2 linked regions of the Nothobranchius furzeri genome follow. The protein of the gene in region 1 purifies or fractionates together with the protein of each later gene. This does not show direct contact. Links are inferred from orthologs where the notes say so. Each region holds a gene or a part of one and is shown on either strand. Other genes may lie near its edges.

Region 1 (16,835 bases):
CACACTGGGATCGTTTCCGTTATCAGAACTTCCAAATAATTGTACCAGACCTTTATGGCATTCCCGTGTCTCTATTTCCCTGAAATGACAAATTTCCACGACATTTCAGGGATCAACAGAGTACCAGAACAAGGGTATGTGCTCTGAAATGGCCCTATAGGGTCACTGGGCAGGACTTGTGGTTAACACATACTGATTGGTTGTAACTCTTTAGGAAATGACATCAGCAGGTGTGGCTAAAAAACCTGGAATTTGTAAAATTGGAAGCGTTAATGGTGAAGCTGAATTAAAGGAAAAGAAAATAAGTAGCGTTGATGCTGCTTTAAACTCACCTCTCCTAAACTCCCAACCTTAAAAAACGCGGCGGGACTCCCGCCCCAACGCCATACCTCACAGTGCTTTGTGGTGTCTTGCAGAGCACCCTAAAGAAACGGCACTTCTTCTGATCATTGAACACTTCTTTTTACATCACCTGAATCGACTAAATTATGATGTGTGAGAGAATTTAACTTTTTCATGTAATGTACATGGATGGTCTCTGGCACTGATCAGTGACATCACTCACTGTTGAAACGGTCGTGAAATGCTGACGTCTTAAGCTGGGCGGACACTGTGCGACTTTTTCACTCGTAGCACTCAGCTTCAGCTCAAACTGTACGACTTCCTCGCAGGGCAGATCTCACGAGTCATGCACTCACATTGCACGACCCAGTTCTCGGATGCGATTTGACTGCTCACACTGTACGTCTGGTAGCAACACGTCGGCCCTAAAAATATGCTAAAAATAGCAGTTTTTACTCAACACGTCAGACTTTTTTGTCTTGTCTTGCCTGTTGTCCTTCGGGAGTGCTGCAGGAGGACACACAGGGATTTATGGGGGTTGGATGAGGAAAACTAAATAAAGAAAGTAAATCTGTGTTTTGTGATCAGTTTAATTTGACATGAACACGACAAACACGCTTTCTTGACAATCTTTGTGAGTAAAAAAATGTGTAGAAATAAAAACGAACAGCGTGTGTTAGGGAATTAGCGGGCGAGCAGCGTTGATGCAGGATTGCGCATGCGCCGTGAGCGGTTCTGATACTTTTTGGGTCACAGCTGCTCGCAGCGCCGCTTCAACAGTGCGATAACCTCATGAGGGATGAGCGAAATATTAAACACGCCAGAAGTCTGTGCGAGCTCATGACTGCTGATCGGTAGCTGGTCACGTGGTGTTAATCGCCTCTCATAACCCCCTGTACACTACACGACGCTCGGCGCAAAACTCGCCCCGATCTCATGGATTCTCGCACGAGTGTAAAATCGGCTCAAAAAAGTGAAAAAGTCGCACAGTGTACGCCCGGCTTCAAAGTCCTGAAAGGGACGATTTTGTATGGAGACCCAACGGCTGGGAGGACAGAGCCATCGTACCTCCCGGTCACTCTTCCCTATCCCAGACATTTCCTGGAACTCCTATAGTAGAAACGGCTATTACTCCTATGTTTTCCCTGCTTGCTAATCTGTGTTATCATCTGCAGGATTATCCCTCATACACAACATTTGGCCAAAACCAGTATGCGCAGTATTACCCTGCCTCCACCTACGGGACGTACGTCACCTCCAACAGCGTGGACAGCACCAGCTCCACGGCAGCTTACCAGCTGCAGGATCACACTCAGGCTATGACAGGACAGGCTGCAGAACTTCACCCAGGTGTGCAGAAAATGTATCCTTATTAATAACTAGGGATGTAAGAAAATATCGATATGGCAATATATTGTGATTTTTCCTGCAACGCTATACTGGTATTCAAAAGCTGTGTATCACATTTTTGGAATAATTTACATGCAATCTTTTTGTGTGCAATTCAAACGCTGACCACTAGTTGGCAGCAGTGTGCAATGGGTTTTGTTTCCACCACTGAAACGTAAATCCCTCTATCGTGGTTCCGATACCTCACGTTAAACATGTTACGTATCAGTTTGGACTGTTAATTGAATTTTCCTACAAAACAGTCTAAAAAAAATTGTTAAAATCGTCTGGCTGAATGTATCGCAACATATCGTACTGTCTCCCCTGAATGTGATACGTATCGTATCGCCAGAATTTCACCAATACACATCCCTATAAATAACCTTACAGAACAATTAATTACATGGCATCAGCTGTTATTAGTTTACTGGTGCTTGATAAACGACGTATTAGCTGTTAGCACATCAACACTCTTGAATGTAAAAGCTTTTTCTCTAAACTGAGGCCACTCAGAAAGCTGTAACTTTCACACAGAAACACACGTCAAAGTGGCAAGTCATTTAACAGCAATTTGATGGGTGGTCTCAAAGATTTTGTTTGATTTGTTACATTATTTGAGTCTTCCTCATCCACCCCCTCCCTCTCGCTCTCCTTTCTCTCTCCGTACGAGCCCCGAAAACCCGAGTCTGGTTCTGGTTACTGAGCAGCAGTGGGTGCATATAGCACTGCAAGGGTGTGCTCGAGTGGAATGTCCATCTGTAGGCCTCTACTGTGTTTTTCCATGCATTCGGAATATCGATTATATGCTTTGTTAGGAATCATCTGATTACATAATGTGTTTGAATTATTGCACACTTCCTTTAAATCTGAATCCTACATTTTCCAGCGGACCTTTTGTTTAGGTTTCTTTCGAGAGTTTAAGTGGATCTTTCAGAGCAATTACTGTGAATTATTAAACTTGCCAAAGCTCTGTAAAAGTCTGAGTTATTGCTCTTCCTAACGTGGACACGGCATTCTAATGGAAGCTGTTTTAAACATGTCTTCACTGCTTTCACAATACAGTGAAGGTAGTTTGATTGTGCCAAATATTTACCATTCAAGCATAACTGTGGTTCTGTTGACTCTCAGGGGACTTTGATACAGTGCAGAGCCCCTCCACGCCCATCAAAGAGCTGGATGACAGAGCCTGCCGGAGTGGGGGGTCCAAGTCTCGTGGCAGAGGCCGCAAAAACAACCCCTCTCCTCCCCCTGACAGTGACCTGGAGGTAAGTGACTGAAAAACATGTTCTCACTGAGAACCAAGAGCACTGACCGGATTATCAATTCAAGCGTCACTAGAGATTTGTTCTGACTTTCAGTTTTGACCTTCTGCTGGAGAAGAACTGAGCAGAGAAATCAGTTTCTTTTATTTGTTCTGCAGAGGGTGTTTGTGTGGGATCTGGACGAGACGATCATCGTCTTCCACTCTCTGCTCACAGGCTCCTATGCACAAAAATATGGCAAGGTAATAATCCGCCTCCAAAACCTGGTAATATTTTCACTCTCTGGGTCGAGACAAAATATCTTCTGAAAATAATCGCTTATTGTCTGGCAACCTCCCGGAGCGCTTCTCCATTTAGTAATGAGTTAGTCAGAAAAAGTGGGCATTAACAAATAAAACTGAATGCAACAAAACATGAAAATACAAGAAAAAAGGCAAAACAAATGAGAGAAAGTGGGACAAAGCATTCCAATACCTCGGAAATTACGACAGAATCACTTGTATAACTTTTCCACGAATGTTGCAGTGTGTGTCCTGTCATGACCCATACTCAAACCCTTTCAATCCAGAGGAAGCAGTCCACCTTTCTCGGGTTGAGAACCATGACATCAGAACAGGACAACATCATCTGCAAAAAGTTGATGAGAACCTTCCTTCACACTAAACAGGATCAGTGATGGGGGGGCACCCTGGCAGAGTCCTACCTGCTCTAGCAGTGAGAACGTGGACACAGCTCTTACTGACTGTTTCAACACCAGATTGCCCTTAAACGTCACCCTGGTACCCAATACTCCTGCTGCACCCCTACAAAATGCCTCAGCAGGCGAGGTTGGAAGGCTTCACCGGGTCCGCAGAGCACATTGGAGCTCGACTGCCTAACCTCTGCGACCCCCTTATCAAGAGTGACGATCCGGTCTAAAGCTTCACAGCTCAGAGAAAAGCCCCCCTGCTCCTCCGAAATATCGGGTTGGACTGTCACTCCACGCCTCCTTTCCAAAAAAGTACAAAATATTCTCCAAAAATGACCAAAACCAATTACATTTCCCCATCAGCTCATATTCTCTAACTCAACAACAAACAGGGCACTCGTTGTTCACAGGCATTTGTACCTCTCAGTGGACTTTAACTGCTCCAAGAACGATACGCTCAATTTATAAGTGCATAGTTTATAAAACGAGTCTTTAAATGTAGCTATAAATAACTGTCAGTACTCTTATTAGTCTAATCGTAACCTGAATGTGCTCATTTCTACCTCTGAATGGTGTTTACTCCAGTCCTCTCTGAACTGGTTTGGTGGTCACTTTCTCACTTACTAGCTGCACTGTTTATAGTTCCATTTATTTAATAGTTCTTGGCACCGATCTGGGATCATCCTATGTGGCCACGGCTGCAGATTTTTATTGGGTGATGTCGTTTCCTGTGGGTACCCGTGTGGCCACTGGCCTCCCCGTGTAGGCTTTTCATATTTGGTTCATTCTACTGTTCTGTTTCTGCCTGGCAGAACAAAAGCTGGCATGGTCTGAGGGCATGTAGCCAGACCTTCATAGAACTTTGAGGGCAAGTCGCTTTACAAATAGGCATTTGTGGGGACTGATGGGCTTCCTTTTTGCTCCACACCAGTGAAATTTAATGTTTGGCAGTTTGGATTTATAAGAAAAGCCCCGGTTACTTGTGTGTGTGTGTGTGTGTGTGTGTGTGCGCGTGTGTGTGTATGTGTGTGTGTGTAGGGCAGAAACACATGTGGCCTCAGAGGCTGAGTCAGACTCAGAAAGATGATTTCATGATGTGCGTTTGGACTCAAGTGGAGACATTTGTGCATTTGTGATATGCATTCCAAAAATGAGAAGTTTTCTGTGGTTAAAAAACTGTTTTGTATTTTATAAACTAAAACATTTTCGTTGAACTTTATTTGAGCACAAACTGAATTTGCACCAAAAACATAAAAATCAGCAGCATGAGTGTTTTTGTGGAAATGAACACGGATCATGTTATTTTCAGATTAAAATGTGAAGTTTGGACCAGATTTATTATATTCTTCTACCATAGTTTTTAATTTAAATGTTTATGCTTGCTGATTTTTTTATTCTGTAGAATGTGTTGCTTTAAATTTGAAAACCAACCATTTCTAATATGCAAAAGATTTTTTTTTACTAAATTTGGGGGACCTGTTAATGCAACATACTTCTCTAAATAATTACAGGGGCCTTTTTTTCACCTTATTTTCTGCTGATGCGAGAATCCGTGGCAGCTGCTTCTGTTTGCACCTCACCCTAACTAGCATTTACAGTATGGACACAGAGACCACCAGATCTAAATTCCTGTCATACGTGGTTCGAGGTCAGATCTGCTGGACGCAAACACAAAAAGTCAGACTGCTTATAGCTCATTTGTAACAAGGGAAGATGTTTGGGACATCAGTAGGTGTGGATTTTTAAGAGTTCAAGGAATTAGTGTAGAAATAGTCAAATTAGCCAGACGAATATTTATAATTACTTAAATATTATTAAAAGTTTTGGCCTAATTGCAGCACCTGGAAAGGCTTAATGCTTTCACCCTTCCTTGATTTTGTTTCTGACACTCAGGAATGTGTGTGTGTGTGTGTGTGTGTGTGTGTGTGTGTGTGTGTGTGTGTGTGTGTGTGTGTGTGTGTGTGTGTGTGTGTGTGTGTGTGTGTGTGTGTGTGTGTGTGTGTGTGTGTGTACATGCGCATGCACCCCCTCGCTAACCTTCCCTCTCCTTCCTGTTGGTTTCTTTCTATTCCGGTCTGACAGTGTCAGCGAACTGTGCGACAGGCTGTCGACCCCCGCTGGTCTATCACAGATGATGGTTTTTGCAGCTGAGTTTCAGGCTGGCAGGGCAGGCTGTGCTCTCCCAAACACGCGCAAGCACACACACACACACGCGCACACACACAGGCAAACAGTTCTCATACATTCGGGCTCCGGCAGGCTCCGCTCAGGCAGAGGGTGTTTCCAGCTTCTGTGTTTCAGAAAAAGCTGAGTTCTAGTGATTTAGAAATCCCCCATGTCTGCAGGACCCTCCCATGGCGGTGACCCTTGGTTTGAGGATGGAGGAAATGATCTTCAACTTGGCCGACACGCACTTGTTTTTTAACGACCTGGAGGTAGGAAAAAAAAAACTTTTACGTTTATGCTTAAATTTTAAGAGAAGTGTTTAAAATTGCATTTTTGTTTGCACATTAACTTAAAGATTAATAAAGTTGCTCACTGAGATGTCACTACCGCCATCTAGTGGCAAAGTGAATATTGTTTAGATTCTGATTTATCCGCATGGACTTATGAGTGTTTGTGACTCCAGGAATGTGATCAGGTACATATTGATGACGTATCATCAGACGACAACGGCCAGGACTTAAGGTTAATATTTCATTTAATTTAGTTTGCATGATGACTTTTTTTCTACTTGAAATCTTTTTTCTTAAAATTGAATTAAACATTCTGATGATAATTAACAATAATCAAGTTTTTGTTCCACCAGAGCAGACTTTTCAAATAAAACATATTATTATTATTGACAGTACTTACAGTTTTGCAACTGATGGCTTCCATGCAGCTGCAACCAGCGCCAACCTGTGCCTGGCTACGGGGGTCCGTGGCGGGGTTGACTGGATGAGGAAGCTGGCCTTCCGCTACAGACGGGTCAAGGAGTTGTATAGCACTTACAAAAATAATGTCGGGGGTAAGCTAATACAAATGCAGTAATTTTGATCTGTACTAGGAGAAAGGTGCTGTTCAAGAAGGGTTTTATTGTCCTAAAGTAACACCTGAGCAGTTTTCTGTTCCTCTGTCCTACTGGTTGAAAGTGGAATTATAAAGTCTGTCGTAAACAACCCTGCTGTAGCTATTGCTAACAACTAGCTAATGCTAACCCTAACCCCCAACTAATACTAAAATAATCCACAAAGTAAAAAGATCCACACTGTTGAACAAAAAAAAATTACAAGTCCAGAAACAACAAAGCCAGGTCACCATCAGTCCGTGATTTTGTAGCCTCTTTTAGCTCAAACTAACACAAACCCGGCTGATGTTCACTCTGATTTTAGCTCTTTACTTCACGTCCAATGACATTACTCTATTACTTTTACGTCCAGGCTTCACCATGATGCCAACAAAAAAAAAGCAAATTTCTTCTTTTTCTACTTGTGCTTTATATTGATGATTAGCGAACTGAAAAAGCTATATGTTAGCATTACAGCTAACAGCCATGAAGCAGGTAAAGACCTCCCCCTATAGAGCACCTACATGCTCCACAAAACTTAAGTGCAGTAACTGGCCAATAGAAGAAGAAAAGATCTCTTCTACAGCGCCTCTCAAGATAAAAATCACGAGGCGCTTCACAAAAACAAAAAATTTTAAATATTAAAAAGAATTTAGAAGGTGATTAAAAATATGTTTAAAATGAGCAAAAATAGACTATTGTGATTAAAATATGTAAAGAAAGAGAGAGAGTGAATAGGAAAGAGGGAAATCGGTGGGTCCTGAGGAAGGTGGAATAGGTGGGGAGAGCAGAACCAGGAGAGGGTGATGAAGGTCAAGCAAAAGCCAGCTTGAACAAGTGAGTCTTCAGCTGCTTTTTAAAGGAGTCCACTGAGTCCACTGATCTCAGGCTCAGGGGGAGAGAGTTCCAGAGTCTGGGGGCCACAGCAGCAAATGATCTGTCACCTTTGACCTTTAGCCTGGTGCGCAGTAGAGGGCTGCAGAGTGGTGTTCAAAGTGAAGTTGGTGAAATTTCTACTCACACGGTCACTTAAACCCACTTTTGAAGGAATAGTTTAAAGTGTTAAAAAAACTGTTTAGTGTTCCTTTAAAGCAGAAATGAAGATTTTTGTCAGATGGCACCATCTAGAGCAGGGGTGTCAAACTCATTTTAGCTCAGGGGCCACATTGAGGGAAATCTAGTCCCAGGTGGGCCGGACCGGTAAATAAAAAAAAACTTCAGATTGTTTTCTTTGTTTTAATACAATCAATATAAAACAAGGCTGGAGCCTGAGGACAGTGTAGTACAAGTACAACACCTGAAGTGTACTTGAAATTTTGAAAAAAAAAAAAAAATCAATCAATAAAAAAAAATTCCTTAATGATTCAAAGAACTTACAGATCACATGGCAAGATCAGTTTCATGCAGCACTTAAAGCATATTTGACTCATTTAACTTTACATCTTTTAGCTTTCACCAGCACATCAATATCAGAAGTCACATCCTGAGTGGCAGCCAACTTCAGGATGTGATTCAAGTTCTTGTGTGAGCCTTGAGCGCAGCTTTGTTTTATTTATACTCATTACAGAGAAAACTTGCTCACAAAGATTAGTTTATTTTCACTCTACATTGTAAAGTATGAAAATAAAGTTTACACAACCATCTCGCGGGCCGGATTAAACCCGCTTGCGGGCCGGATCCGGCCCGCGGGCCACATCTTTGACACCCCTGATCTAGAGGCAGAAAATGCGTCGCACCTTAAGGCAAACTTTACCTCTGAAAACAATTTCTCGTGTTTCTATACCTCTGACCCTGTGACTCTGTTTTTGTGTGTTGTAGGTCTGCTGGGTCCAGCTAAAAGAGATGCCTGGCTGCAGCTCAGAGCCGAGGTGGAAGCTCTGACGGACTCCTGGCTCACCCACGCACTCAAGTCCCTGTCCATCATCAGCTCAAGGTGACACATTGTTTTACTTTTTTCCATTGTTGCTGATTTTTCTGTGTTCTTGAAGTAATCCCAACACGGCAACAGATTATGCACAGAAGTGGAAAAAATGGTGTGTTCTGTGTTCATGCCCACAGGAGTAACTGTGTAAACGTGTTGGTGACCACAACGCAGCTCATCCCGGCGCTGGCTAAGGTTCTTCTATATAGTCTCGGTTCCGTTTTCCCCATCGAGAACATTTACAGTGCAACAAAAATAGGTGAGGCTCACACACGCATGTACACACACAGTCATGGTTCAGATCACATAACGTGTGGAGCCTGAATCCTACCTGTTGCATTCGGCCCTTTGAACAACCTCAGTTTGTAGAAATAGATATAATCTCGTCATCTTGATAACATACGGCTAGTTGAAGTGGGTGCATTGCTATTAGGAAGTAGCTCTAATCTGAAAGAAATCATTGCATTTTGTATTTTTCTGCTTTTGATACCCTAGGATGGGGTTTACATACTTAAATAAATAGTTGCTTGTGGTATTTGCACTAGCAAAATAACGGACTTTGGACTAGTCATTAGCTTGTCACTGCGGTCAATCTGTTTTTCTCTAAACTGAGGTCATTCAAAAAGCTAACGACCACAGGTAAGATGAAATTCATACCTATAAACCGAATCAAACTTCAATAGATCCAGCTCTCTAATATATAAGAAGAAAGGATAATAAATAATTTATCTACAGTTAATTCAAATGTTTTGCCACATTTTTGACAATTGTTTTCTTTAAAGGTCAAAGTCACTGAAGAGGATTAGGGCCACTGAAAAGAAAAAAAGCAACTAAAGAGAATTTTGACTCTTTTTCTTAAAACTAATAAAGTCAGTATCCGAGAAAAGTCTGAATTTTCTCTTTGCTTTTCTGCGGCCCTAATCCTCTTCCGTACAAAGTTGTAAATAACAAGGTAACCGTAATTCAGTTACTTGGATTTTAAATGGCAGTTTTGCTTTTATTACATAGAAATGTGGTTATTTCTATTTGCTAATGATGGCGGCAGCTAGCTGTAGCATTTCTGGGTCACCTCCAGGGAGAATTTTATAATATTTTTCCTGAAGTATAGAATAAAATAGAAAAGTAATTTGTTGTTATACTCAAAGTTACAAATTACTTGAGTGTTCTCACCAAGCACTATGCACCACAGATAGTTACAGCAAAAGTAGGTAGCAAAACAATGAAATCTTATTTGAAAAACACAACCTATTTAATAACGGGTGAAATGGGAACCAGTTGTTGGTGTGAACTAAAAATACATTTGCAAATGAAACCATAGCTTGAAGTTGTTTGAAGATGAGCCATCCTTGCACTAGCCGTTAGCTTGTCAATGTGGCCAGGATTATTCTATATTTCTCCAAGCACAGGTCGTTCGAGGCTATTTCCACAGCAGGTAAGAATGGTTGATTCCACATAATTTGTTTATTTGAGCCTAAGTGCTGACATCTTTGGGCCCGACGAGCGTGGGAGAGCCATTAGGTGCGGCACATGTTTGTGTTGTGGCGCACGCCGCTCTGCCACTTCCTGTCACATCTCCATCCAAACAAATGGAAAACCTGTGAAAGCCGTTTGTTTTTCTCCAGGCAAAGAGAGCTGTTTTGAGCGTATAGTCTCCCGCTTTGGCACTAACATTACATATGTTGTGATTGGCGATGGGAAGGATGAAGAGCATGCTGCCAGCCAGGTAAACAAACAGCTTGTGAACTTTGACCCCTCTGACCATGTGACCCTCCTTCCTCCCCTTGTTTATTTGTTTTTTGCAGGGAAAGAGAGTTGCTTTGAACGCATAATGCAAAGGTTTGGCAGGAAAGTAGTGTATGTTGTAATTGGGGACGGTGTGGAAGAGGAGCAGGCGGCCAAAAAGGTAATGGACCCCCGAAACCTTAGCGTGACCCCGCCTACTCCGCACAGTGTGAGCTCTGATTGGACGAAACCTGCCTTTCTTTGCTGCAGCAGTTTTTTGTTTCTCTGGTCCACTGGCTTTTTGTTTTCATGGTGTGATGGGAACCTGGAGTGAATATCTGAGTTACAATCTGGCTTGGCTTATTGTGGATATTTGTACTATTAAAGCTGAAACGTCCCTCCAACACGGAACGTCTGAACAAAGATGACCTCGTTCAGAACTTTAATTCTTAATAAAATGTTTTGCCAAATGTACACAGTAACCAAGCTTTACATAATCACTTGTTTAGAGAATCATTGCTGCTTTTTCCAGTGATTTTAAATGTCCTTCCTATAGGTACTCTACATTAGAACATGTCTCCTTCAGAAAACGACTCCTTCCTCTTCAGCTTTGGGTTTTATTTGTGACACCTGGGGTCGTTTAAAGAACAATGCATTTTGGGAAATATTCCTATTTACTTCCTTGTTCGGTTAGATTGAAAAGACAGATAAAGACTGTTTACTTGGAACAAAAAGCTGGAAATATGGGGGGATTTTAAGCATAGCTGTTTTAAATTAAAAAGATGCTTTTAGAATCAAATGTCAAAATGTTTACAAACAGATCTTTGGATAAAGAAGTGGTTCACATGAACAGTTCAGGGAACATTTTCATTCAGCTGTGCGTGCTTTCACCAGTAATCCAAGTTTTTAAACGTTAAATAGAAAATCAGGAACTTTTTATTTGTAGGTATGAAATAAACCAGTTAGTGGTTAGAACTGGGTGAAAAATTCAAGATTTTTTTGCAACAACAGACCCACTAAAAGTTTATATTTAACACATGGTTGTATTTACTAGGGATGCACTGACAGGAAACGGGCCGATATGTGCTGGTGTGTGTGTGTGTACACATTTATGCTTCAGAGACTAAACACAGGACTAAACAATTAAACATCAACGCCTCACTCTGTGAAAGACACAGAAACAAGATAGAAAACATATTGGTTAAGATCAGCCCAGTTTTATTTATGGGGCCGATACCCATGGTAAAAAATGACTAACATATCGTATTGATGCCAAATTACCGACGGGATTAAAAATGTATAAAAACTGTAGTTTTCTTAATTATCTAAAATGTGCAGAAATGTTCCTCTCGTCTAAAACGACCCAGAAGACCAGTACGTCTAGGAGCCACACCAACGTTTGAGTCGTCAGCCAGATTCTTCTGCCTGTCATGCAACTCAGAACAGGAGCTGCATATTTCCCAAAATGCTTCCGGATAAGACGTGCATGGGTTTGGTTTGCAGTGCCATTGCAGCTCCAGGCTATATAGATGGCGTAGCTTGCATGAGCTGAGGTGGTGGTCTTCCACTGCTGGAGCAGAACCTGTGGTTTTAATGGTGTGTGTTCACTTCACAGCACAACATGCCCTTTTGGAGGATATCCAGTCACTCTGACCTGCTGGCCTTGCACCAAGCACTGGAGTTTGAATACCTGTAAGGACTGTACCATTGTGGACTTGTGCATCGCTACCATGGAAACAGCCCTCTTTTGTACTATTTAAGAACAAAACTTAAGACTGCATCTTGTGTTTTTTTTTTTTTATCTTTTTCTGAATGTTTGGATTTACAAACTCTTTATGGTCTTAAGCAAAGAGGTTGGAGGTTAGAGGTCAGTGGGGTTTGGAGGAACTGGACTCTATGCACAGTGACCTGGATGCTGATACACTTCTGAAGAATCCAGTTTACCGTCCACGCAGCTGAGCCAGAAAAGGATCTTCTCAGAACCTGGAGCGTTTCTCTTCCTGTTACCTGGCGTTTATCTAGAGCAACAGACAGACATCCTCACCTAATGTTAATCTGAAGGCATCTGCATAGATTCTAATGTAAACTGGGATACTTTCTCCCTTCAAAGGGTTTTTTTCCTGGTGGTAAAACTCATGCAGTCCGTGGTAAAGAAATCTGTAAATTATTTCCAATAAACACAACAGTGGATGTTTGTTTCTTTTGTCAATAAAATTCTAGCTATTCTTTCCCTCCTGAATTCATAATCCCGACTTCATATCGAACAGCTTTAACACAAATCACCAGAGACAAAGCTTTTATTTCCACATTTTATTCACATCTCATTTCTTGGCTTTGAAGTATTCCTCAATCACATCCTTAGCTTGAGACTCTTTGCCATAATCCTGTAACCAGAAGAAAACGTTAAGATTAGCTAAACAAGTTCCGGTTATTTAAACATGTGGGTTTGGTGCAAGTAGGTGACCGGGATTGCACCATGGCCAAGACTTGGTATGAACAGCACCAAACCATTTGTCCTTGAACACAGAATGCCACGTTTTACTCTGATTACCTTGACAACAACACAGCTGCAGCCCACCACCTTGCGGGGTTTGCCCTCACGGTCGATCTTGCACAGACCAACCCACTCACCGAGCTTCTTGTTGTCGTCAACCTGAAATAGAAATTTAAGTCGATGGAGAGTCAAACAAGCAGTAGAAAGTAGGACTGTACTGAATAAATGGACGGTAAATACCCGTAAGCACAAAAACAGTCGCCCACTAGATGGGGCTGTGGCAGCAGAATTGCTCCACATCCAGATTCATTGACACCATTATTCCACTAGATCTATTAATTGCTATCATTTTAATTGCTACCTAAAATACTGCAACCCTAATAGAAAATACTTTGGTTAAGATTGGTTGAAAAGCTAAAACACACTGGACAAGTATTAAAATAACTAAAATTTCCTACAAACAAAAAGTATTTAAGATACAATCTCAGTCTAAAGATGGAGATTACAGAGAGCTAGCCTGGCCTGCCAGACTCTTCCTCTGTTCTACATAGGGCTGCAACAACGAATCGATAAATTCGATGAAAATCGATTACTAAAAGCGTTGGCAACGAATTGCGTCATTGATTCGTTGTTGCGCAACTCTTCCAAAAGCCCCCTCCCCTCCTGCCCGCCGTTGCGCGCAGACCGGTGGAGAGCCGGCAGGTGTTTGTAAGAGGAACATGGCAGAAGCAGCGAGACCCCAAAAAAGTAAAAACTTCTAAAGTTTGGGAGCATTTTCAGTTAAATCAGGCGAAGACATTCGTTACCTGCAACGTTTGTAGGTCAGACTTAGCATGGCACGGGGATACTACGGTGATGATGCAGCGTCTTAAACGCAAGCATGTCAGAATCATCAGCGAGGAAGGAGAGAGCTCGGTGTCCGGGTAAGTTAAAAACTTTTCAAAAGTGATTCACCCAAGCCCCGGATTATTACACAGGCTAGACATGCCCTAAGCTCGTAAAAAAGTCTATAAAACTGTAAGCGCGACGCTATTAGATAGGCGGGGGGGGGGGGGGGGGGGGGGGGGCTCGCGCCGCTGCGAACCGGTTCCGCCGTCACATTCCCGCAGAAACTGGTTGATCACACCGGGGCCAGACTACTAACATGTGGCTTTACAACCACAATGTCCTCGAAGCGAAAACGCTTTTAAAAGGGAGGGAGGAGTCCTAACTGTTGCAGCAGGCGTGTTGTGTGAGAGTGCAGTTATATACTGGTTAATATATTTTTGGGTTCAGTTGCTTTCATGTGGCCTAATGTGAGTCTATTTGGGATCATTGGAATGATCAGCAGCATTTCTTGATGTGACTTTATGGCAGTTGCCCAGGGCATCATCACAAGGAGGATGGCATTCATTTACTTTTGTTTTATTTGGTATTTTTCAGTCATTTTTGGAAATAGTGATTAATTTTGATTAATTCACAGCCTATGTTTAATTACATTTAAAAATTAGTTGTTTGACATCCCCAGTTATAATAAATGTCAACAGATGAGATCAAACAAAACAGATGAGAATTGCCCTTAAAGAGCAAGTCACCCCCAAATAAACATTTTTTTGCTGATAAACTAAACAAACGAGTGTCTAAAGCCGGGCGTACACTGTGCGACTTTTTCACTCGCAGCGTTCAGCTTCAGCTCAAACTGTACGACTTCCTCGCAGAGCAGATCTCACGAGTCGTGTGCTCACACTGTACGACCCAATTCTCGCATGCGACCTGACTGCTCACACTGTACGTCTGGTAGCAACACGTCGGCCCTAAAATGTGCTAAAAATAGCAGTTTTTACACAACACGTCAGACTTTTTTGTCTTGCCTGTTGTCCTTCGGGAGTGCTGCAGGAGGACACACAGGGATTTATGGGGGTTGGATGAGGAAAACGAAATAAAGAAAGTGAATCTGTGTTTTATGATCAGTTTAATTTGACATGAACACGACAAACACGCTTTCTTGACAATCTTTGTGAGTAAAAAAACGTGTAGAAACAAAAACGAACAGCGTGTGTTATTAGGGAAATAGCGAGCGACCGGCCGGCGTTGATGCAGGATCGCGCGCGCATGCGCCGTGAGCGGTTCTGATACTTTTTGGATCGTAGCTGCTCGCAGCTGCTCGCAGCGCCGCTTCAACAGTGCGATACCCTCACGAGGGACGAGCGAAATATTAAACACACCAGAAGTCCCTGCGACCTCACGACTGCTGATCGGCGGCTGGTCACGTGGTGTTAATCGCCTCTCGTAACCCCCTGTACACTACACGACCGCTCGGCGCAAAACTCGCCCCGATGTCGTGGCTTCTCGCACGACTGGAAAATCGGCTCAAAAAAGTGAAAAAGTCGCACAGTGTACGCCCGGCTTAATCGTGCTGCAGACACGTGTTGTCAATAATTTGGCACTTCAGTGCATCTTAGTTAAAATTTAAATATTCTGCCTAAAACTGGCAGTGTTGTGCCGTTGTCAGGTAAAAACTCTGCACTGTATTTTAATTTAAATCTGCCACCGCTATTGGCTAAGAAGTATGCTATGATGTAAACTGGTACATTATGATGTCACAGTGCTGTCGTGAGCCTGAGTGTGTGTGTATTTGTTAGCGGCTCTGCCCTCTCGGTCTGCCAGGCAACAGCATGTGTTGCATTTTTCAAACATGAAGCGGGAGTGGAGTTAGACTCTGGTAGGGGTTGACTTGCTCTTTAAGCTGTTTAACTTGGACCAAGCATTTTAGGTCACAGATAGGTGTAGCTTAGGGTCTCTGTCTATACACCTTATAAGACAATTTAGGTGATGGCATGTTGTTTTTCTGCTATTGAACTGTTTTCTAATAATGTTGTGTTTAATAAAGTGAAGGAAGGAGAAAAATAACGTTTCCCTAGCAGTTTTAAAAAAATGTCCCTATGTAATCCGATTAATCGATTAATCGTGTCGAGACCCCATCCGATTAATCGATTATCCAAATAATCGTTTGTTGCAGCCCTAGTTCTACACACAACCAGTCTGCTTACTCACAGGCAGAGGCACAAAATAACCAATCAGAAAAAAGGCAGAGATGTATCACGCAACTATTTTTTTAGCTGTAGCCAAAAATGGTGTCTGGCAACCGTGCAAACATTTTTTTGTTTGTTTTTTTTTTTTTTTGAAGAAAGGCTTTAAGCACTTCTACTTGTTTTAAAGACATCCACGTCCTTTAGAACAGAGGAAAGAGTCTCAGCGAACTCCACTTCAAACGCAGTCCTTGTTTGAGAAACCGAGCGTTGCGGTGTGACGTACGCAGCTCAGCGCTGCTCGACTCGGTTAAAATTCTCAGGGTTATTTGGGTTGGAGTTTTCAGACCCAGCGGCTCCCATAAGGAAGCACGGGGCGGGCTGGTCAGGCTAACAGAGCTGCATCATGTGAATGTTGTCACATTTGAGTCGTTACCAGAATCACAATAAAATGTGTTCGTACTACCGGCAGTACCTTGACTTGTTGCTACAGTATTTCTGCAAGTTTACATCGGTCTTTTGATCTCGTCACACATCATCATCTCTGAATCCATAACGCTGACGACTCTACTGCTCTGTGTCTCAGCCTCTTAAAACGGGACATCAGTAGCCTACTCACTTATGTTTTTTTAAATACCAGACAAGCGACAGGGTCAAAATGACATCAGTAACAGCCAAACTTCAGTGATGTTACATTTTTGGTTTAACGCCCTGACAAACTAGAAACTACCAGTTGAGAAAACAGTTCGACTGATACTTTTATCAGTTTAGCTCTACTCAGTCTGCTTTTATAATTCCATATAGATGAACAGAGCGTACTGGTCTGTACCTCAGACAGAAATTGGGTAACAATGGCATTCTCCTCACAGAGTTCAGCAGAGGGAGCCAAGTTATCATCAGTGATACAGCCGCACAAAGCTACAATAAAGACTCCAACCTAAAGAGCCGGCGTTATGATCC
Region 2 (15,997 bases), on another chromosome or scaffold:
TGACGTTGCTTCCAGGTCATAGGAGTGATGGTGCAGAGGTGTGGGATTTCCTCCAACTTAGCAGAGAAAGGGAACTGTTTGGTGCTGATTTCTAATTCGTACCCGGCAGTGGAATCAAACCTGAAGAGCAACAAGAAAAGATGGAAATGTTTAAGGATCAGCGTTCAAAGACTTAGGTGCCACATTTGAATAACAACATCTCTCACACTCCCTCTGGTTGGAACATCACCACTAAGAATTTGTCACTCCTTATTTGAACTTCTCCCTTTTCGTTTTCATACTCTGCGCCATGAAGAATCCTGGAAGTTAAGCTTGAAATGAGACCAGACAGGGACAGAAACTTTCCCCGTACTGAGGATGTCACAGCCAGCTGAAGTCCAATTTCCCTCCAACAGTAAAGCGCTTTGATCAGGTTTCGCCGCTGATTTAGGAAGTCACTACTAACCGTCTGTCACTCCTACACTGCCCCCTCCATGAGTGCACAGACTCAGAGTCTGGGAACAGGGAACTGCTAATCTGGAAAGTCAAAGATCCACATCCATCCATCCATCCATGCTAGTCTCCTGATCTGGCGTCGGGTTGCGGGGACAGCAGCCTAAGTAGGGAGGCCCAGACCTCCTTCTTCCCACCCAGTTGGACCAGCTCCTTCGGGGGTATCCTAAGGTGTTCCCTGGCCAGATGAGAGACATTGTATCTCCAGTGTGTCCTGGATCTTCCTTTGGGTCTTTTCCCAGTTGGACATGTATGGAAAACCTCACCAGGGAGGCATCCAGGAGGCATCCTGGTCAGATGCCCAAGTCACCTCAACTGGCTCCTCTCAACGTGGAGGAGCAGCGGATCTACTCCAAGCCCCTCTTGAACTTAAATATATTAAAAGTAATTTAAATTATGCTTTTGTTGATTAACTTATAAAAACAGGAATGCAGCTTTCATTTCAAATCTTATAAAAGCTGAAAAGTCTTTCTTCCGTTTGCAGTTTTTCAAACATAAAGACGGAAAGGGATTGGTCTGAGCCGGGATGCTGGAGTCGTTTTCATCTTGCTGCAGTGAAGTGACCAAATTATTGTCAGAGTAGGAAAACTAAAACTTCAGTGTGATGAATATTATAGGGAAGGGTTTTTTACCCAGTAAGCTAATTTTAATGTGTGTGAGGGAAAGGCTGTTGCTGTAAAGACACTGGGGGGGGGGGGGCTAAAGGACTCTAGTAGGGTTAAATTAATGCCGGCCATTTACGATTTGACTAGTTTTGCTCTTTTCTTTTGAAAGTAGGACCCTGCTTGGGTGTCTGGGGCCAATTTCAGATACATTTCTGACTGAGTCAGCTCTAATTGTCTCTAAAGGAAGGTCTGGATGTAAAACATGTTGTTTGTTGTTGACAGGAGCTCTCGTTTTCTGAAGTCTGTGACTTTCTGCACATCTTTGCAGCTGCTTAGCAGCAATAATAAAGTGTGTTGTCGAGTAACTCTACAGTACAGCTTTGGATACGTCCCATCACACAAATCCAGGACATCCTAAAAGCTAACTTTACCCCTTAAAAAACTGCTGGTATGCTTTTTTTGGATTTAAAAGCATCATGCAAGGATATTTTCTTTCTATTGGGATGAGAAGCAAAACCTCATCAAACACAAGAAAGGAAAACAAATCCAGTAAAATGATGTCAACATTGTGCTAAAACTGTGATAAATGTCAGTAGTTTGGCATAAATACCATTATGTTTGCTTTGGAAAGGCCTTTTCACTGTCATTGGCATCTTCACTCACAAAACTCAAATACTATATAGAATTATTTTTGAAGGATTTCAATTAGAAAAAAAGCCTATTTATTCTGAAATAGTTGAACATAATAGAATTTAATGATTGCTGTAATAATTGCAGCCTAAAGCTATTTGGCCAGTTCCATCGGCCTACAGCAAAGCGTGCTCTGGAGTTAGCGATTGAAGAGAATAAAATGTGTAAATGGCACCAACACTGTTCTGTTCAGATAAGCAGCAGCCTGGAACCAAGCGACCCCATGAGGACAATAAAGACTGAGTTAAAACCAAAGAAATGTTTAATTTCCTGCAGAGATTTGCTCGTGTTACGTGTCTAGATTAGTTTAGAGAGTATGGCTTGAGTAAAAGGAGAAGAATATCCTAAGATGTTCAGAATGCTTGTAAATATAGGATGAGTTTGTTGTAGGGAGAAATCACTAAAGAGGGGCAAATATCTTCTCCATCCATTAGCAAAAAATGTCTTCCTTTGTTTCTTTGTGAGTGAATTTCCTCATGTGGGATGTGAACCACTAAATAACCCCTTTTTTTGAGGTCTGACAGCTCCAACTTCTGTTGTTATGGGGAAATAAAGTGTTATCTGGGAGATGCAGATGATAAGAAGGAAATTGCCCCAAAAACAGAAAAATAAAGCTTTTTCCACCCAAAAACAGGCCCAATCACTGCAGTAACTCTGTTTGAGCACAGCAAACTAGACTCCGAGCATCCTCTTAGAAACTCAAAACAAGCAGCTACAGGCGTGATGGTATCTGCTTCACTGAACAGCACAAAGCACAAGAAACATCCACAGATTTCAACTCATCAAGAGTCTAAAATGTAATTATGCCCTCAGTGCCGCAGCACGAACACCCTCTCAGTTCTTCCTCAAAACGTAATAAACACAAGGGAGCAAAAAGTCATCTCCTTAGCTCGTTTCAGCGAACATTTAGAAACTTTTAAAGTGAAGCCAACTCAATACGCCGAGAGAGACGAGGCTGCACTTCAAACCAACACAAGTACAGTCTTTGTTATTTAGGTCAAAACTTCCCTTGATTTGGGTGCAGTTTGTGATACTGGTTGGGTTTGTTGGATAAATTTGAAGAGGCAATCTTACAATGTGACTTGTAAAAGTACAATCAGCAAGACAGTTGCATGGTGGTTTCTAAAAGAGGCTTTTAGAAGGTTCCAACACATAATCAACTCTCGATCACCAAGCAGAAAGTAGCTTTAGATGTCATATTGTGGAGATTTTTTATTCCAGAGATGAATTGCTTCTTTTTCATGTAAAGTACTTTGGTGCAACAACATACAAGGGTCAGTTTAATGTAGACATTCTAGTTTATCTTGAGTTATGATAGTAATATGGTGTATTAAAACCTGTTAATGAAGCTATTTGCAATAAATTCCTCTCGCATGAAGCTATTTCAGTAGTTTTAATGTTGACAGTTTCAGTACCTTCCAGAATGAGCCATTTCTTGGCCCTGCCATTTTGAGAAAACAAGCTGTACTGACCATTTCCACCCATCCCCTACATGGCTGCTATAAGCTGAGAAGTTCAGTTACCCAGGTGGTTGTATTCTAATTTCTCTATTTGTGATGTCAAACGGGTTGTTTAAGGTGCATGTTTCCTAAAATCAAACACTGATGGAAAACAAATGGACAGGGTTTTTTCATGTTTGAGGTGTTTCTAGAGACAGCAGAGACCAATTCTGGCAGCACAAAAGGATGCAATAGATGAGTTTTGCAATATTATTCAATTTTAAAGGACCTGCATCATGCTACACCTTTCAGAGCAGCGATAGGCCCAATAAATGATAAAATATTATCATTGCTAATTCCCTTGCTTGGTTCTCATCTAAACGCAGCGTAGTAAAAATGTGTTTTTACATTTTAAGGAAGGTGAAGTGAAGGAAACAAGTCGAAGACACACAAGAGCAGCAAAAAAAAAGCAGAAAGTAGCTACAATAAATAAATCGGCCGTAACAGACCACTGCACAAGGGAAAACCATGGTACAGCACACCCCAACCCCACACAGAACAACAGAAATACAAAAGCCAGTGAAATTAGGAGACACGAACCAAGGACCATGAACAGAGATGATGGCAGTGACGTGCGGTCAGAGGAGGCAAGGGAGGCACTTCCTCCTCTGTCACTGTGACAAGTAAAAAATACTAATAATGATTTAATATAAAGTCAGTGTATCCACTGACTGTCTGTCTAAACTCCCTGCTAGCTGCATGGAGAGGCTGGGCGTTAGTGTTTACAGTCGAGGGGAGGAAGGATCTGGACTTGAGAGAATACCGGGATGTGATCTAGCAACAACCTAATCCGTTTAAGCAAAAATTTGCTAATCTGAAGAAAAGAAGCAGATGAGACAGGAAAATGTATGTGTGGCCATTTTGGGGATGTTTTTGATGAAGAAATAACACTTAAACATGGTCAAAAGCTCTATGAAGTGGATTTAGCATACTAACTTTTAAGTTTGGATTAGAACTTTCAGAGGAACTGTTTCAACTCAAACTGAATGTAAAATCATAATTTATTTAAGGTGTTCAGGAGCAGGTTGAAGATGTGGCAGTTTAAAATGAATGCTTCTAAGCATTCATCTAAAACATCCAAATATGTTCAAATTGACATATTTTTCTATCGGTGCTCAAATGAAAAGGTGGACATCCATCCTAAGAATCTCACGAAATATTTAAAGACAAAAAAGCTTCAGGTGACAACTGGAAGGCTTGTTTGAGACCTTTTGATAAATCGGGGTCTTTCTAATAAACTGGGACTGAGTTTTAGGATCATACAAAAACAAGCAGATGTAGAATATTGTCAGCAATATTTTACATCAGATTATCCAAAATAGTTGGCCTGTAAGTTTAGCCCTCATGTTTTCTACAACCCTTTAGTCAGCGATCGATACCTGAAACCAGAAAACGTTTTAGTTTGATGCCAGATTAACAAACATTTGCTCCATCTGAATATGGATTCGCCAAATCTTTTTAAATAAAATGCAGTTTGTTTTGAAGTCAGACTCAGCTTACCATCTTAGCGATGCACGACTGTTCTCGACAGCTTGAGTATGACTCACACTTCCCACCGAAGACCAGGATTTCCAGATGAGGGCATGGTGTGTCTCAAAATACATCAGACAACAATAAAAACCTCCAAACATTTACTCTTCAGTGCCACACCAAGTCCTCCACAGATGTTCTGCTCTGCATCACATTTACTTTGCACCTATAAGTCATAGAAAAAGGCTGGATATATTGCTCCTCCATATTAGTCTGGTGTGACCTTTGGATCAGGTGAATCAAAAAGGAGTGAATTCAGAGAGATTTGTAGTGTTGTCCTGCGAGAGTGAGCAGGAAGATTCAAACTGAACATGTAGTCGAATATCCCACAAAACAAAGTTAGTATTCTGTGGTTTGGCCTGTCGTTCACATTAAAGATAAAGCACACACCACCAAACATTATTCTTTCAAAAAGTCAGGCCAGGTGGAGGTTTGTGAATTCTTCATTGTCAGCATTCGCTTGTGGACATAAATAACCAGTTTTAGGTTTCACAAGGTCACTGCTTACAGTAAATTTGCTACCTTTGTTTACTCTCGCTTGCATTAGGGTTAGCGTTAGAAAGACCACAAGCAAAGGACATTTAAGATGGTTGTTGCACACCACCAAACTATTCCACATCCAGGGAATAAATGCAGCAGACTCCAACAATTTAGAGAACTACTGCCTCCTACAGGCCTGGCATGTCTATAAATGTGCTTCCAATGCACTTGTTTTTTATTTATTTTTTGGCAAAAAACGAGATGTTGTGGATCCAAGTTTTTTCCTAGTTGGTCAGGGGTGGCTATAGGGAACCTGAGTCACGCCCACCTACTTCCTCACCATGGGTCCCCGCAAGAATGAAGAAGATGAATGCAAGTCAATGGGGATAAAAACACTACTTTCTATTTCTGCTTGTTTTGTGACACAGATTTTACATCTGATGTCCGTGAATTTTAAAGAAGCTTTTTGATACCACTAATGCGCTTATTTTCAAACAGGGGAAATGACATTTTAGGCTGCACAGTGGCACAGTGGTTAGAGCTGTTGCCTTGTAGCAAGAAGGTCCTGGGTTCGCTTCCTGGCCTGGGATCTTTCTGCATGGAGTTTGCATGTTCTCCCTGTGCATGTGTGGGTTCTCTCTGGGTTCTCTGGCTTCCTCCCACAGTCCAAAAACATGACTGTTGGGTTGATTGGTCTGTCCAAATTGTCCTTAGGTGTGTGTGCGTGCATGATTGTTTGTCCTGTGTGTCTCTGTGTTGCCCTGCGATGGACTTGCTCTCTGTCCAGGGTGTACCCCGCCTGATTGCCCATTGACTGCTGGAGATAGGCATTTCATGACTATTTTTTCTGATGTTAATCTGATTCTGTTTTGATAGCATTTTGATTTTATGACTTTTTTAATTTTGTTTTCATCTATGTGAAGCACTTCGTGATTCTACGTCTGTGAAAAGTGCTATATAAATAAAATTTACCACATTTTATGTAAATACACCAATAATGCGGGGCAGCAGTAGCTCAGGTGGTAGAGCGGGTTGCCTCATGATCGGAGGGTCATGGGTTCGATTCTAGCTCCCGCCAGGGGTATCCTGCTGTTGTATCCTTGGGCAAGACATTTCACCCAACTTGCCTGTGTTAGTGGTGGTCAGAGGGGCCGACGGCGCCAAATGGCAGCCTCGCCTGTCAGACCTCCCCAGGGCGGCTGTGGCTTCAAGTAACATACCAGCACTGGCAGTGTGTGAATGTGAGAGTGTGTGAAAGCGTCTTTGGGTGTCTAGAAAAGCGCTATATAAGTTCAATGCATTATTATTATTAGGTATTATAAATTTCTTACTTGGCCAGAAGCATAATATAAATTAAATTAATTATTTAAAAAGGAAATGTCTAAACTGAAATGTAAGATTCCATTTTTTGACCAATCAATTCAATTTCAAAAATTCAACCAGACAGAATTACTAACTGAAAATATAAACATAGATAAAGGTGCATGATAAAGTTAACTGCACAAATACACATAAGTGAATAAAACACACACAAATCTGACTTAGAGCTACTTTTACTTTAAGAAACAACACGTAACAATCACGATTAAAACAAACTGTTCAAATCTGGTGGAAGTTAATCATAAAAACACAACATTCTCTATTATTAATGATAAAGAAAAAAAACATTTATCATCACGGTCACCTTTGCACTGCAACCAAGGTACAAACTCAGATTATTTAGAAAAGTATCTTCTTCCAAATCATCATCAATACACCAGACTGGTCACATGAACAACAACTTTCAAACAGACCAGAAGTATTTTCCTTTTACAAAAATAAATGTTTTAACAGTGACTCGGAAAGCACATGAGATCTTCCATATTAGGTCTGAGACAAAAATGTAAAATACAAAACAGTAATCGTGGTTATGAAGGTATCTGGCCCAGAAAGACAGATGTCCCGCAGCAGGACTTTGGTAGAGTTTACAAAAGCAACTCCAGGCAGCAGCAGCTGGGAAGAAGCGTCCCTGATCAGAAATGTCCCCCAGCCTCAATCCTCGTACTCCGTGTACTTTTTGGCCGAGCCGTGCACTTTGCTGGCGGGATATTTCAGCCGGTTGAGAGCAATCTTACGGAGGACCGCTTGGGGGAGGTCGACGCGACACTTCTCAGCGAGCTCCAGCAGGTAGATCAAAACATCGCTGAGCTCGTGGGCCAGTTGCTCCCGCTCGGACTCGGTCCAGCCCGGCAGACCCTCCGCCACCTCTCCTCGCCACTGGAAGAGCTCCGCCACTTCGCCCACCTCTCCGACCATGGCCATGAGGAGGTTACGGGGCTGGTGAAACTTGTCCCAGTCCCGCTCGTCGGTGAACTCGGCCTGCATCCGCCGAATATCCTCCATGGTGGGCTCGGGGCTGAAAGTGAACTTCTGTGGTCGAACTGCTTCCCTGTTGGCGTGTGGCTGCTCCTCCGTGACCGCTCCGTTCTCTTTTAGTCCGCGAGCTTCTCTTCCGTTTGTTGCCATCATGTTTCAGCAGAGTTCGTCCGTTTTTCTCCTACTAAAACTGTTTTTCAATTGTGGCAAACAACGCCGGTTCACATGCGAAGTCCCGCCGGTCGACAAAGCGGAAATGACGTAGTCTTAAGAGGATGTTTGGGTCGGTTCTTAAGCTGATGGGTTTTGTAGTTTTCACTTCAAAACAGTTAACTTAGTTGTTGCTTTACAATGAAATAAAAAACTACAAATCCCACAAATTCAAATACCGTTAAGGACAACATGGCGTCCTGCGTTGCAAACGAGTTGCTTCATAAAATAAAACAATTATCAATATTATTGCCCATAAATGTTTGTTTACGTAGACGATGTAGCACATCCAGCAAACAACGCGACAGCCAGCGTCATCTCACAACCAAGAGGTAAGACAGTCCTCTCTTTCTGTGGATAGTTTATGCATTTATATGATATTTTCTTCAAAATAGCCACACTTTGCTCTGATTACTGCTTTACAAACTCTTTGCATCCTCTTGATGAGCTTCAAGAGGTAGTCACCTTAAATGGTTTTCCAAGAGTCTTGAAGGACTACCTAACATCTAAAACACGTTTTCACTTATTTCACCTTTTTTGGTTTACTACATAACTCCGCATGTGTTCATTCATAGTTTTGATGCCTTCAGTGAGAATCTCCTAATGTAAAGGGTCATGAAAATAACCCTTACCTCACATTAGAGCATTTTTTTGTGCTGACACGTGTATTTTTGTGAATAACTTTGGCTATGTTAATGCAATTTATCTAATTTTTATGGAGGATGTGTATTTTGGAAGGAATTACAAAAAAAAGTTTGAAAAAATATTCAACCTACTTTATTAAAACGTGGAAATCATTTTGTACAGTTAAGCACATTGAAGCATTTTTTTGTGCCATTGACTTTCATGTAAATCATATATTTTTAATTAGCATAAATATTGGCATAATTTTAAAAAATTATGATTGTGCCCGTGTTTACAGTCTCATCACAAATGTAAGAAGCAGTTTTTACTGTTTTTCACTACATGGCATACTTTCTCCATATATAGCAGGGCAATGGCTGACCCAGCATTTAAACTGAATGATTTAGCTGTATTTCTTTACCTCTGACTGCCCATTATAATACATATTTTGCAAAAAAATGGTTTGTGTGTTATTTAGAGATGCCATACAATAGTTTGCATGTGTGTGTTCTGAATTTTTGGTAATTGTGCTTTTTCAGTGTTCTTTCAAAAAATAAGCCTGACTGAATGTACAAAATTAGCTTATTCTGCAAAATAGCATTTTGACATGTGTTCCTTTGTGTGTGATTGTTCAGGCATGCGTGTATGTAGGTATCAAAGCACTTTACAGATCTTCAAAGGACAGATCTGTGATCATTATCTGGAGTGGTTGAGCAGGTGTGGGCCATGGGAGTGTAGGGGGGGGGGGCACAGGTTCTCACACTCTGTTGACTTCATGAATATTCATCAAAGGAATGCTATATATCAAAAATCAAAGGATTTTCTGCTAAATTTCAGATACTCATTCACAATTTTACTTTTGCAAAATGTTATTTCAATAAGTACAAAGCATTTGCATGGATGAAAGCTAAGATGAAGGCTGAAAAACTTCAAAGGCATACATTTGTTTTTCAAAACAAATTCCTGCAGAATCGAATTTTGTTTACATTCAGTAGGGGCAGCTTACACAGGTGCACCAATTGACTAAAAGTACATATATGAGACTCAGATCAGGATTCATTTCTTTGAACCGCAACCATGAGAAGAAGATTCAATGTGAATGAAGCCCTGGAGGTGTTTCAGCAGCTTGAGGAAGAGGGAGAGTCAGCCTCATCCTCATCCACGGACGACAGCTCTTGTTCGGATGAAGAGGCTGAAGATCAGGCCTTTACCCCAGGGCCTGATTCAGGGGAAGAAATGGAAGAAGGTTCAGATGAGGAGGTGGTTGCTGCAGAGGAGAGATGGGACCATCCTTTGTGGCAATCAAAGAGCGGGATCGCCTGGTCCCCGACACCAGGATCCCCTTTCGGGCTCCAGACGTCCGCCATTGTGGGATCACCCGCCTCGCTGTCAGCTACATCCAAACTATTGAGGACAGCTTCGATTTTTTTTTAACTACAACAATCCTAGATGTAATAATAAAATACACCAATATAGAGGGAAGAAGAAAATATGACGATTGGACAGACGTTGACCGCGTGGAACTCCGGGCATTGTTTGGGTTGCTCATCCTCGCTGGTGTGCACCGTTCCCGTGGGGAATCATCTGCCAGCCTCTGTGGGGAGGAAACGGGGAGGCCGATATTCAGAGCCACGATGAGTTTGGGAAGGTTCCACATGCTGACTGCAACATTGCGCTTTGATGACCGCTTGACCAGGGCAGCCCGCCGGTTGGTGCAGCAGGACAAGCTCGCTCCCCTGCGGGAAGTGTGGGACCTCTGGGCGGCCCGGCTCCCTCTCGCCTACAACCCCGGTGAAGATGTCTGCGTTGATGAACAGCTCGTCGGATTCAGAGGTCGCTGCAACTTCAAGCAGTACATGCCCTCAAAACCGGCAAAATATGGCATCAAGCTGTGGGTGGTGTGCGATGTGGCCACTTCTTATGCCTGGGGGATTATTCCCTATCTGGGCAAGACGACTCGAGACGCCCCGGCAGAAAGGGGGCAAGGGAAGCGGGTGGTGCTGGAACTCACGGAGGGTCTGAGCGGCCGCACTGTCACCACGGACAATTTTTTCACCTCGCTGGTTCTTGGAGAGGAGCTGCTAAAAAAAAAATCTGTCTTGTGGGAACAGTTAGGCGCAACAAGCCAGAGTTGCCCCCACAGCTGCTCCAGATGAAAAGCAGAGCGGTTCTGTCCTCCCTGTTCGGCTTCACCTCCACCGCCACCGCGGTGAGCTACATTCCAAAGCGCCGGCGGAACGTTCTGCTCCTCAGCACCAAACACCATCAGGTTCAGATCCAGGAGGGACCGCAGCAGAAGCCGACCGTAATCATCGATTACAACCGCTGCAAAGGGGCAGTTGACAACTTGGACAAGGTAATTTATTTATTTTATTTTGTTTTATTATAATTCACCAACCTAATTGCATATGTAATTTATTTATTCATTTATTTTTATTCCAGCTCGTTGCAACATACAGCTGCCGCCGCAAGACCAGACGTTGGCCCATGTCGCTCTTCTGCAACATGTTAGATGTGAGCGCCTACAATGCCCTGGTCCTGTGGCTGTCTGTGGAACCGGCCTGGAACCAACAGAAGAGGAGCATCCGTCGAAGGCTGTTCTTGCAGGAGCTTGGGACCTCCATGGTGAGACCAGCCCAGGCGAGGCGCACTCGCTTGCCGTGGTCCAGCAGCGCTGCAGCTCTGTTGGAGGTGCAGCAGCAAGTGGAGCCAGGTCCAGCCCAGGAGCAGACAAAGAAAAGATGCCACCTTTGCAGAGGGAAGAGGAGCGTGCATGCACGCTTTTGCCATGCATGTGGACAGGCTGTGTGCAAGGAGCACTCAACAGCTGTGTGCTCAGCCTGCAGCTGTTAGCTCACTCCCCTCTGTGTTTCTCTCTCTTTCTCTCTCTCTCTCTCTCTCTCTCTCTCTCTCACACACACACACACACACACACACACACACACACACACACACACACACACACACACACACACACTTTTTCTTTGTTCGTGTGCTTTAATAAAGTGTTCAACTGGTCATCTTTGTAAGTGCATTTTTTTGTGCTCTAATGACTTTAACGTGAGTATTTTAGAAAATATGACATTACACAAAAACTACAAAGTGAGCAAAAAATATTTTTATGCCTATTTGTGACACTCCAAGGCTGTGACAACTTACCCACAAAAAAGTTAATCTGGACATAACACACAAAAAATGATTTGATTTTTTCATTTTTTGTACAGTTTTCAAACTTCGGGTTTTGCTAATAAACCTAGCAATGAAGGGGTTAAATCTGAGAAACACACACATATTTTATTATATTTTGTTAGGGCTGAAGCCAAGGATGAAATTCATGTAAAAAAATTGGGACTTATGAAATATTATATAATATTTCTATGGGAAGCTTTCTAAGTGCATTTTTTTGTGCTCTAATGACTTTAACGTGAGTATTTTAGAAAATATGACATTACACAAAAACTACAAAGTGAACAAAAAATATTTTTATGCCTATTTGTGACACTCCAAGGCTGTGACAACTTACCCACAAAAAAGGTAATCTGGACATAACACACAAAAAATTATTTGATTTTTTCATTTTTTGTACAGTTTTCAAACTTTGGGTTTTGCTAATAAACCTAGCAATGAAGGGGTTAAATCCGAGAAACACACACATATTTTATTATATTTTGTTAGGGCTGAAGCCAAGGATGAAATTCATGTAAAAAAATTGGGACTTATGAAATATTATATAATATTTCTATGGGAAGCTTTCTAAGTGCATTTTTTTGTGCTCTAATGACTTTAACGTGAGTATTTTAGAAAATATGACATTACACAAAAACTACAAAGTGAGCAAAAAATATTTTTATGCCTATTTGTGACACTCCAAGGCTGTGACAACTTACCCACAAAAAAGGTAATCTGGACATAACACACAAAAAATGATTTGATTTTTTCATTTTTTGTACAGTTTTCAAACTTTGGGTTTTGCTAATAAACCTAGCAATGAAGGGGTTAAATCTGAGAAACACACACATATTTTATTATATTTTGTTAGGGCTGAAGCCAAGGATGAAATTCATGTAAAAAAATTGGGACTTATGAAATATTATATAATATTTCTAAAGGAAGCTTTCTAAGTGCATTTTTTTGTGCTCTAATGACTTTAACGTTAGAAAATTTAAACGTTGGGTAAGGGATAAAGAAAACACATTGAATGAGAAAGTGTGTCCAAACGTCTGGCCTGTACAATATATATAACACACACACACACACACACATATATACATATATATATATATATATATATATATATATATATATATATATATATATATATATATATATATATATATATATATATATATATATATATATATGTATACACACACACACATATATATACCGAAACGGTTCAGCAGTCCCCCGTGAACCCTTACATCTTGAATACAAGTACTTCTAAAAAAATTAGCATATTGTGATGAAGTTCATTATTGTCTGTAATGTACTGATAAACATTAGACTTTCATATATATTAGATCCATTACACACAAATGAAGTAGTTCAAGCCTTTTATTGTTTCTAATATTGATGATTTTGGCGTACAGCTCATGAAAACCCAAAATTCCTATCTCAAAAAATTAGCATATTTCATCCGACCAATAAAATAAGTGTTTTAATACAAAAAAAGTCATCCTGCAAATAATAATGTTCAGTTATGCACTCAATTGCCTATTTTTGCTCATTTTAAATATATTTTTAAACATTTTCTAAATGCTTTTTTAAGTTTTACATTTTTTTGCTTTTGTGAAGCGCCTCGTGATTTTTATCTTGAGAGGCGCTATGGAAATGAATTTCTTTTTCTTCTTCTTCTTCTCCTCCTCTCAACTTTCTCTTCACAATATCCCACAGGTTCTCTACGGGGTTCAGGTCAGGAGAGTTGGCAGGCCAGTTGAGCACAGTAATACCATGGTCAGTAAACCATTTACCAGTGGTTTTGGCACTGTGAGCAGGTGCCAGGTCATGCTGAAAAATGAAATCTTCATCTCCATGAAGCTTTTCAGCAGATGGAAGCATGAAGTGCTCCAAAATCTGATAGCTAGCTGCATTGACCCTGCCCTTGATAAAACACAGTGGACCAACACCAGCAGCTGACATGGCACCCCAGACCATCACTGACTGTGGGTACTTGACACTGGACTTCAGGCATTTGGGCATTTCCCTCTGCCCAGTTTTCCTCCAGACTCTGGCACCTTGATTTCTGAATGACATGCAAAATTTAATTTCATCCAAAAAAAGTACTTTGGACCACTGAGCAACAGTCCAGTGCTGCTTCTCTGTAGCAGGTCAGGCGCTTCTGCCGCTGTTTCTGGTTCAAAAGTGGCTTGACCTGGGGAATGCGGCACCTGTAGCCCATTTCCTGCACACACCTGTACACGGTGGCTCTGGATGTTTCTACTCCAGACTCAGTCCACTACTTCCGCAGGTCCCCCAAGGTCTGGAATAGGCCCTTCTCCACAATCTTCCTCAGGAACCGGTCACCTCTTCTCGTTGTGCAGCGTTTTCTGCCACACTTTTTCCTTCCCACTGACTTCCCACTGAGGTGCCTTGATACAGCACTCTGGGAACAGCCTATTCATTAAGAAATGTCTTTCTGTGTCTTACCCTCTTGCTTGAGGGTGTCAATGATGGCCTTCTGGACAGCAGTCAGGTCGGCAGTCTTACCCTTGATTGCGGGTTTGAGTAATGAACCAGGCTGGGAGCTTTTAAAAGCCTCAGGAATCTTTTGCAGGTGTTTAGAGTTAATTAGTTGATTCAGATGATTAGGTTAATAGCTCATTTAGAGAACCTTTTCATGATATGCTAATTTTTTTGAGATAGGAATTTTGGGTTTTCATGAGCTGTACACCACAATCATCAATATTAGAAACAATAAAAGGCTTGAACTACTTCAGTTGTGTGTAATGGATCTAATTAGGGCTGCACAATATATCGTTATCGTGATATCAGCATGCACAATATGCATATCGCAAAGAACAGATAAATATTGCAATGAATGGCCAGCTCAAATGTTTGCTACACATAATGCATTCTGTCAATCGATGATGTTTTTTTAACAAATCAAATAGAGCTCTTCACCCATTCGGCCAAATTGGCTGGGTTCTCATAGGTCAGATGCCTGCCCCCGAGGCGGATGGCACTATGGTTAGCAAACACCTGAGTTAGCTTCGTTAGCTCTTTCTGCTGATTCTGCTTTTCCCGGGATCCACTGATTGCCTTTTCTTGTTCATTTTCTTTTTCCTTTTCCTCGCATCTTTTGCATTTCTCATTCTTATGATTTTTTATTTCTTTGTTTTGATTATTTTTGTTCCTGAGTTAAGTTTTTATTTATCGCAAGTAATATCGTCATCGCAATATTAATCATTGTTATCGAATATCGCAGGTTTTCCTAATATCGTGCAGCCCTAAATGTAATATACCATAATTTCCGGACTATAGAGCGCACCTCAATATAAGCCGCACCAGCAAAAAAAAAAAAAGGTTTTCTACACACACACGCCGCACAAGCCGCTGCGCAGCAGCCACATGCAGGTCTCCGGCGCACAGCGCATGTACGGCTATAACATAAGATAATTAGACAGAAAGACACTACACGGAAGTTTTTCATTGTTGTTTTAATTCAACAAAACAAATTTTAAACACGTGTGAACGTGCCTGCAAGTTTAGAAAAGAAAACAGCACTGATAGCATTCATATTTCTGGATGGTTATAAAATAAAAACAGCACTGACACGTTATTACCATTAATTTGCATGTTTAGAAGAAAAGAACAGCGCTGACACAGCATTAATAAGCCCTGGATGATTAGAAAATAAAAACTGCACACAAAACATGCCTGGTTAGTAATGATCTGCACAGTGGAAACACCTCGGCCGTCTGCTCTTTGTGTGTTCACCCAGTCTTCAAGAATGTTTTCCAATTCCGGCCATCAGCTTTAATTTCCTCTGAAAGCTTTTGTCGTTTTTTACATTGAGTTCTTCCCGCTGCCGCCTCCAACGTCGCACCATTGATTCATTTATGCCAAGCTCCCGTGCAGTGGCTCTGTTTCCTTGTTTGATGGCCAGATCGATCGCTTTTAACTTGAAAGCTGCAGCATGTGCATTCCTCCGCGTGTTTTCCATGACAAGGGTGTGTCTGATGTGTAAACGTGCCCCTTTAAATCAAAGAGCGTCTTCTTCTGCGCATAACGTTTTGCCGTGCCTGTCTCACTTTACTGCTGGAGAGTGCCTCTAGTGGTTGTTGGCCAACAAAAATCTACACATGAGCCGCACCATGATATTGGCCGCAGGCTTGAAAGCACAGGGAAATAATAGCGGCTTGTAGGCCGGAAATTACAGTAAATGAAAGTCTAATGTTCATCAGTACATTACAGACAATAATGAACTTTATCACAATATGCTAATTTTTGAGAATATATGGTTTTTGTGAATGCATTTTTAAAACAGAAACAGGCAAATTAAACTGAAGTGGA

Evidence for each region.
Region 2: the proteins of eya4 (region 1) and dctpp1 purify together in Homo sapiens (affinity purification with mass spectrometry; 3 studies listed by BioGRID and IntAct, with this or other methods). This does not show direct contact. The link is inferred for Nothobranchius furzeri from reciprocal best matches to the Homo sapiens genes EYA4 and DCTPP1.

What each region holds. Positions count from the first base shown.
Region 1 is NC_091742.1:857,420-874,254, forward strand, and holds the end of eya4 (eyes absent homolog 4), read left to right. Parts: intron 1-1,517; coding exon 1,518-1,692; intron 1,693-2,859; coding exon 2,860-2,996; intron 2,997-3,151; coding exon 3,152-3,235; intron 3,236-6,026; coding exon 6,027-6,116; intron 6,117-6,310; coding exon 6,311-6,369; intron 6,370-6,530; coding exon 6,531-6,691; intron 6,692-8,548; coding exon 8,549-8,663; intron 8,664-8,788; coding exon 8,789-8,910; intron 8,911-10,273; coding exon 10,274-10,374; intron 10,375-10,453; coding exon of another isoform or gene 10,454-10,554; intron 10,555-11,988; coding exon 11,989-12,069; 3' UTR 12,070-12,563; downstream 12,564-16,835. Other genes in the region: rps12 (small ribosomal subunit protein eS12), read right to left, coding at 12,695-12,757, 12,925-13,026. UniProt on the Homo sapiens protein: Tyrosine phosphatase that specifically dephosphorylates 'Tyr-142' of histone H2AX (H2AXY142ph). 'Tyr-142' phosphorylation of histone H2AX plays a central role in DNA repair and acts as a mark that distinguishes between apoptotic and repair responses to genotoxic stress.
Region 2 is NC_091747.1:80,460,484-80,476,480, reverse strand, and holds dctpp1 (glutamyl-tRNA(Gln) amidotransferase subunit B, mitochondrial), read right to left. Parts: upstream 8,011-15,997; 5' UTR 7,805-8,010; coding exon 7,328-7,804; 3' UTR 7,131-7,327; downstream 1-7,130. Other genes in the region: piggyBac transposable element-derived protein 4-like, read left to right, coding at 9,563-9,731, 9,842-10,501, 10,597-10,841, 10,928-11,338; gatb (glutamyl-tRNA(Gln) amidotransferase subunit B, mitochondrial), read left to right, coding at 8,054-8,193. UniProt on the Homo sapiens protein: Hydrolyzes deoxynucleoside triphosphates (dNTPs) to the corresponding nucleoside monophosphates. Has a strong preference for dCTP and its analogs including 5-iodo-dCTP and 5-methyl-dCTP for which it may even have a higher efficiency.